2 linked regions of the Oryzias latipes genome follow. The protein of the gene in region 2 binds, or shares a complex with, the protein of the main gene of each other region. Links are inferred from orthologs where the notes say so. Each region holds a gene or a part of one and is shown on either strand. Other genes may lie near its edges. The genes, in order: tyrobp and syk.

Region 1 (3,321 bases), on a different chromosome or scaffold from region 2:
GACATGCAAACTGTGATGGTAAGATTACATTTGATATGCCACAAAGCATTACTTATACAACAAATGCAGTCTGTGAACAGATCTGTACATCAAATTTCCAAACAGAAACCAGAGAATGCTCCAGCGTGGAAACACACGCTGCCATTGGTGAGAGTTCCTTTTCCTCAGTTTTTTGCTCATCAACCGCTTAGTGATGCTCACTTCTCTCTTTCTGTTTGCGCTTAAGGGCCCGACCGCTTCCCAGCTCTTCCAGCCTTCAGCTAAGCAGCCTGCTGTTCAAACATGGAGGTGTGTTCTCTCTGCATCATAAAAGGGATTTCTACAACTGTTTTAGGAAGCTGAATGACCCGTTTCTCAATTCAAATTCTTTAATGTAACATCTCCCATTGTCTCTATTTTTGTTGATCCATCCTGCCTGCATGTTAAACAATAAATGTCCCCCTTATTTTTTTACCCACAGGTCTTTTTTCCCCTCACTATGAGTCAGTATCCATCATCTGTTGAATCATCAGGCGCAGACAGGCTGCTTCCTAATACAGACGCTCTGGAATTTTCTTTTTCCTTCATCCACATTCAGAGCTTTTTTTTTTTTTTTAACGTTAAACAATAAAAGACATAAAAATAACAGAAATGTTGACTTCCTATGACTGGTTAATATACATTAAAAATGAAACACACTATAAAATGCTGTTTTCAAACTAGAATTAAAACATGTATTCTTATTCAAAATAAAGGCAGCAACACACACACTCACAAAACCTTTCAAGCATACAAACATTTACATAAATATTCCACTTTTACATACAGTATTTTATATTAGTGCTTTAAAATCACAGGCATTTACATTACAATTGTGCTGGATTATAACCTAAAGCTACATATATGCAGGATCATTTGCTGTTTGCTTTACGTTCACACACAAACATTATGCTTTACATTATAGCTTCATGTTAGAGTTGTCTGTTCCATTTAAAGTGTCATTTTCTAAAGTGTTGAAGCTCACTGTACACATCTGACTGGACTCCATGTAACTCCTAAAAATCACATGATAGCAAGCAAAGCAGTTATTGATTGCAGCAACATAAAAATCCCCAAATAAAGTTCATAATTGATGGTTATGGGGTTCTAGTTACCTGGTAGGGAGACTCTGCAACTTCTGTTGGCACTTTCTTTGAAGTTTGCAAAGATGAGTTCTTTTTACCTGTATACAGGTGGGAAACGGTTAGATGACAGCCCTTTTGGCAAGTGCCCACACTTGCAGAAAAAAAGCAGAGTTAAGGGGCGCTCACCATGGAGGGAGTCACATTCTCTCCTTCTCCTTTGGTGAGTTGCAAAGCAGAACACAGAAATCATAATGAAGATGGTCAGGATGATGTCAGAAGTAATTACGGCGATCAAAGACGTCATGCTTATGAGATAGCAGCCATCACAGCCTGGGGGGGGGGGGGGGGACACGTAAAGCACAGGGTTTGAATTTAGCACCACATCTCCTTCCGACTGAGTCAAAAATGTGTAGAAAGTTAAAATACCTGGCGTCTCCTCTGAGCCTGAAATATGAAAACAAAATCTTTGTTTACACAAAATAAACGAATAAAAGCGAGAATTAATCATGCATCACTTACCAAAAAAGGAACCTGCGACACAGAGGTGTTCGGGCATCGTCTTCATGTTGGGGTTTAGTAAGGCAGGAAATGAGAGTGAGAAGCTGGGGGCTGTACGTCCCTCTGTTCACTATCAAACAACTGTCCTCCACCCATGAACAAGAGGCTGTGAACTGGAGACAGAGGGGCCCACAGACAGGAGACAGTCCACAGACAATATGGTGTGAGTACCAGGAAGCTTGGTAACCTCCCGGATGACAGTGAAAGGAGGAGTCCACTGTGAAAAGAGGGAGGAGGTGTTTCTGCTTTGTTTTTATGCCACATGGACGTTGCACAGTTATTATTTTTTACAACTAAAATGTCACCATTTGAACTTGGGCCACATTTTTGACAGTTTGACCAAATTGTTCTGATGAAATTAAGCAAAAAAGGTTTCTGACGGGGTTCTGTGTTGCCAGTTTGCAGTTTTGGCTGAAGTTGATGGTACCTCAGAATAGAGCGTTTCCTCAGAACCTGTGGTTTTGCACAGAAACTTGGCCATAGCTACTGCCGCTTGATCTGCAGGCCTTTCACCACACGTTTAGACAAATTGAACTGTGTCTATCAGCAGAACGAAAGTAAACCTTTTTTTGTCCATCAGAAAGAAGCAACAATAAAGACTTTCACACTTTAACCCCTTCATGCCATATGTCGCTAATTTGCAATATATTAAATCCAGGACTCAACTTAATTTAGCATCACTTTGAACAGAAAAAAACACAGAAACTTATTTTTTTTTAAATTGGAAATAAATCTGGGGATGAAGGGGTTAATGTCCAAGAAAAAAACAGTAAACAAATACTGGTGATACCAGTTATGTCACTTCATGGAATTTCCGGAATTAAACACAAAGGGGCTGCAAAAAAAAGCCATTTCTTAGTTTCTATTCATGAGAAAAATGTACCATGTTACTTTTTTAAGGACAACTGAGTTAGTTGAGTGAAATTACAGAAACAAAAGGATGTGCACCAATTCAGTCCACAGAGTTAGAAGTGACCTTTACATGTTTTTTTAGGTGTCAGCGTCTGTCATCCACCCACATAGATTTGGTATCATTTCAAATCAGTGCCTCAAGGCAAGGCCACGTTTTTAAGTTTTTGTTCATCTGAAATAGAAATAGAACTTAATGAAACTGAGAAAGTGAAAACCATTTTTGATTTGACTATATAAGTGGTTTGACACAAACATGAAAGTTAAAACCCCCTTCAGTCAAACCATTTCTTACGTGTTTTTGTTTTCAAAACTTCCTTTTTTCATTTTGTTACCTTTCTTTTTTTGTTCCTTATGCTTAAATACTTTTATTTTCAATTCTCCAGAAGTTGTTTTCTTCAGTCCCCATGTGAAAAAAAAGAACTTTTAGGAAGAATATTGCAAAAGAGAAATGATAAACTATTTTAGCAATAACAGTTAAAATAACGACCCAACGCAGAAGATACACACACAAAATTTATTTTTGTAAGGACTTCAAAAATGATACATTTCAACAAAAGACATGGGATTTTTTTATAAACAGTAATAAAGGTAAACACACAATATATAAAATGTGTTTTTTCTTTAATTTTTCAAATCTCTTATTGAAAGAGTATAAGTAAAGTATTTGGGCAGACATTTTCTAAAAAATATCCTAAATCACAACTAACCTCATGCACAAATTTGTTTCATAAAAAGAACAAAAAACAAA
Region 2 (4,438 bases):
ATTGATTATCCTCTTTTTTTCTTGACATTTTTTTGTAGTGCTCATTAGTTAAATTATAAACTGGCCAATCAGATGCCTCAATAAAAGTAGGAGGTGCCTGCTGACCCCCACATCACACGTTCCAAACGTTCAAATGACAGATCCAAGCCGTTTTTAAGATCCAGCTAACTGTTAAGTTATGGTGCTGTGAAGACCCTCAAACAATCTAATTTACTTTTCAGTGGGTACTTCCTGTTTGGAATATGGGGCTGGGGGGGTCACTAAGTCCAGTTCTCATATACAGTCATCGTCAATGACTTGATTTCTATGCTGTTGGCCTTTAGCCTGAAGAGTTTAGTTTTAAATGATGACTGATGCCTCTGAACTTTTTCTATTTAACTTTACATCAGTTTGTGTCATTTACTGGGCTTTAACAGGAACGTTTATCAGCTCACATAGTCTTTAAAGACAGCTGAACTGTGATTGTACGAGAGATGTTGTCCAGCTTTATTTTAATTTACTCCTGGCCTAGTAGCTTCTCATTGGTGGAGCAAAACTCCCACCTTTCATTCTTGAATTTGAAGCAAACATAGAACTACCAAATGATGCAGTTCAATAAGTGACCACTAGGGCCATTGGCAGAAGGGGAGAATTTCCCATTAACTGCATCAATTTTTCACTAGAACTAAAATATGTACAGTCCACGGTCAACACCTTTATTGTTTTATTCGTTATGCATGGCGACTGTCATTTTTATGAGCTATTTTAATTTAATTAAGAGCTCATTTTTTGCTCATTATGTCTTTGATTGACAATCAAACATGGCTGGGTGCTTTCAGTTTTCATTTTCACCATTCATTTACTCAGATCCACACCATTAGGACATTTAAGAACGACACCATAAAGACCTTCAGGAACAGCACCAGAAGTACATTGAGGAACAACACCAAGGGCATTTAAGGACAACATCACAAAGAAATTCAGGAACGACACCAAAAGGACATTTTAAAATGGCACCACAAAGACATTTAGGCTAGAAAAGTGTCTTCAAAAGTCAACAAAGACAAAAAAGGTTTTGAGTTTTGAAAGTATGACACGAGACAGAAACAGGATTTTAATATTCTGGAGGGGGGGCTTCCATAGAGAGGCCAGCAGGAAAACGGCCACAGCTTAAAAACTTAAGTAAGCCAGGTTCTGAGAAGATCAATGGAAAACCCAAGACCCAACTATGTCTTTGATCATACTGGGATGAGAAAGCTTTCCACAAAGCCTGATGGGATCCCAAATCCAACACCCTGAGGCTGTACACTACACACGTGGAAGACCTGCCATCCATGTTCATGGAACAAAGATCCATCAGCAAATGCAGGTGTGTTTGTGAGCGGGGAAGGTTTGAAAATATGCAGGACAGTGTTCCCCGAGGACCAGGGTTGGAAAATGCTGTCCTAGATTCATATATATTCAATTTGATATTGATAATAATTCAATCAACGACATGCACCAGACTTTATAGAAACCTGTTTAGAGATTTGGACCTTTCCTGTTCCAACTGTTCCAGATCCTCAAAGACGTGACTGAGTGCTGCATCTTTCTGGTCCCCATCTTTGCTGCATATTCTGTAACTTTTCTTTATCTTTGCAGCATTATTTCAATTGGGCTTCATGTCAGTTTCAATCCTGCTTCATGTCTGTTTCACTTTGCCTCCATGTTTGCTAACAAACTTTATTTATAAAGCACGTTTCATATAAAAGCATAACACAAAGTGCTTTACATTAAAACAAAACAAAATAATCTAAAAACAAGCATGAAAATTAAAATTAACAAGCACAAAAAAATAGCGCCCCCTCCCCGTACCTAGACACAGCCCCCCACTCCTTTCATACATCCCACCCCCTAATCGGGAAAGACAATGAGAAATAGGCTGAGCACGAAAACAAGATGTTGGAAACGCTAATAATTGGAACCTTCCTCTCTGTGAACAGCTGCATAGACAGCCAAATGCAGCATCACAGGCGGGGACCGCTCCACCACAGCTAAGCGGTGATGCAGGTCCCCATCCAGAGCCGCAGCGGCTCAACAGCAGCCGACCCAGAGGGGGGGGGCCCAACTGAGGAAGCACCGGAAATAAAAGTGAAAATAAAAATGAGAATGAAAGAGTAAACATAATGATAAAAGCAATAAACATTGAAACATGGTAAATTAAAATAACGCGTTAAAAATCTAGTTTAACTTCATAAAACAAGATAAGATTGATAAATAAATAACAATAAATGAACAACTAAATAAATAAACTTCTGCTTTATGTCTGTCTCCTCCTAGCAGTAAAGCTGCTTCTCTGCTTTACTTCTGCTACTGGTCTGCTACACTTGATCTGCATGTCTGCTCCAGTTCTGCTCCCTTTCTGCTGCATGCCTGCTTCACCTTTTCTGCATGTCTGCTCCCTTTCTGCTGCATGCCTGCTTCCCCTTTGCTGCATGTCTGCTCCACTTCTGCTGCATGTCTGCCTCGTGTTCACATCTTCTCTGCTCCATTTAACTGCATCACTGCTGCATCTTTGCTCCATGTCATTACCCAGGATACATGCCTGCGCCTCTTGCGTCACGCAGGATGCAGTTCGTTCCGCAGAGGACACGCGCGCACACATCCTCAGCACGCGGTGGTTTCCCATTGACTTTGATCCATCTTGATGTTGGCGACGGCCCAGAAGCGCATGCGAGAACCGCGCACAGATCATGTGATCTGTGGGATTCTGTAACCGCTTGGTGCGCGCCCACAAACACGACTCCATGTCAAGCAACGTCAAGATCCACTTAAAGCGGGACTCTGCTGCTCCTTCCAAAACCCACCGCTCCTCACGGGACACTCACCTGAGTCCTTGGGCTCCGCCACGTTGACTGCAGGTGCACGCGTGTCTCATCATGAAGGTGGCACGAGCGTCTCATCATCGCTGCTTTCCACGACCCGACATGCACAACATGAGAGCAGCCTCTAATGCAGAACCCCACCCGTCGGTTTTTTAATGTTCCTGTCCCACGAAAAACCAAGATCCCCGTCATTCCTGCGTGCTGCCAGCAGGCGGCAGCACTGCTGTCAATGAGGAAGACTGTCCAGGATCAGGAGAACATCAATCCCTTTTTCTATGACATTAGTGAGGAGCAGACTTGGCCATCCAAATGTTGTTGTTTTTTTTTATTTGAAATGGTTTATTTCAAGCAATTAAGTAGAAATAATACACAACAGCAATATAATCATCAGTTATACATTCATACAGTAACTAATCAAACTTAGGATAATTAGACATATTAATAAATATTGCTTGAAAGGGAGTGGGAGGAAGCGAACTTATATAATCCCACCCCGTTATACTGTAACCATTTTATTACATGATTTATCAATATCCGGTTCCCAGTTTTTATCAGACAGAATTAAAAATCATAAGGTATCGATAAAGCACATGACAAAGATGAATTACTTAAGTATTACGTCAAAAATAACTATTTTAGAAATCAACATGGCAAATGCACATCAGTCATCTGAAATATATGCAGATTATGTTACTTATAAAAGCCATTCATATGAATAAAGCACAATACTATATCAGTAAAGTAGACACTACACTGTTTCAGGAATTTTCATAGGAAAATTTCATCAAGTATCAAAAATTAAAAACATGTGCAAAATTATGCTACATTAGGAAAGACTTTTGAATCAATTAATCAATTTTTGGAGAAAGTGAAGTAATATCATTAAAAGTCAATCAATTTAACAATTTTCAATAAGTGATTAATCATTTGTTTTACTTTTTTAAATATTTTTTTGTATTTTTTTTTTATAATAAAGTAATGCTGTAGGGGAAAAAATCCAAATGTAAAACATAAACGAGTCAGTACAGAATCAAGTAAAGAAACAAACATATTTTGCTTGTATGTACACAAAACATTCACTTTTAAAAGATGAAAACTCTGCTGGTATGGTTAAAAAAACGTTAAGGTAAGATTTAAACAAAACAGACAACAGAATCAAAGTGTGTCAAAGATGCATCTGTGAAGACTCATTCATCCACGATTGTTCCATAGCAGAACAAGTCTTCTTAGTGACTAAGTCCAGATGATCTGTAAAGACACATGTCTTAGTCTTTTAAGTCGAAGATGTTTGTCTCCTTATTCAAGAGGCTTTCTCCAGAATTGAGAAAGCCTCTTGAATGACCTTTTGTGTGACCTTCTTTAAAACCTTTCCTCGTGGGTGGCGTTGCTGGTTCTCCAGGTTTAGGGTCTACTTGGAATTGAAAATGGATCGTGGTGAACCTCATGACACTTCTAAACAGTGGAATGGCATGTGTCAATGATTTGAAACAATGTCCCGCTCCGTTGTGCCATCTAGTGGACACCATTGAGAGCAGCAATGCCTTCGTAGTGAAGCAGCATTTCCTTGGTTTGATGTTTTACTACAGAATCGGTAT

Evidence for each region.
Region 1: the proteins of syk (region 2) and tyrobp are in contact, whole or in part, in a crystal structure (PDB 7Q5W), measured with the Homo sapiens proteins. The link is inferred for Oryzias latipes from reciprocal best matches to the Homo sapiens genes SYK and TYROBP. Residues at the interface, in NP_001167638.1 of Homo sapiens: Arg22, Arg42, Asn46, His62, His63, Tyr64, Thr65, Ile76, Ala77, Gly78, Gly79, His92, Asp97, Gly98, Leu99, Arg175, Arg195, Arg197, Lys212, Leu214, His215, Tyr216, Arg217, Ile228, Pro229, Glu230, Gly231, Lys232, His243, Lys247; in NP_003323.1 of Homo sapiens: Pro90, Tyr91, Gln92, Glu93, Leu94, Gln95, Arg98, Ser99, Asp100, Val101, Tyr102, Ser103, Asp104, Leu105, Asn106.

What each region holds. Positions count from the first base shown.
Region 1 is NC_019874.2:15,548,340-15,551,660, reverse strand, and holds tyrobp (TYRO protein tyrosine kinase-binding protein), read right to left. Parts: upstream 1,871-3,321; 5' UTR 1,669-1,870; coding exon 1,623-1,668; intron 1,548-1,622; coding exon 1,530-1,547; intron 1,434-1,529; coding exon 1,290-1,433; intron 1,202-1,289; coding exon 1,134-1,201; intron 1,035-1,133; coding exon 978-1,034; 3' UTR 597-977; downstream 1-596. Other genes in the region: uncharacterized protein LOC101174619, read left to right, coding at 1-18, 106-191. UniProt on the Homo sapiens protein: Adapter protein which non-covalently associates with activating receptors found on the surface of a variety of immune cells to mediate signaling and cell activation following ligand binding by the receptors.
Region 2 is NC_019870.2:27,556,566-27,561,003, forward strand, and holds the start of syk (tyrosine-protein kinase SYK), read right to left. Parts: upstream 3,014-4,438; 5' UTR 2,847-3,013; intron 1-2,846. UniProt on the Homo sapiens protein: Non-receptor tyrosine kinase which mediates signal transduction downstream of a variety of transmembrane receptors including classical immunoreceptors like the B-cell receptor (BCR).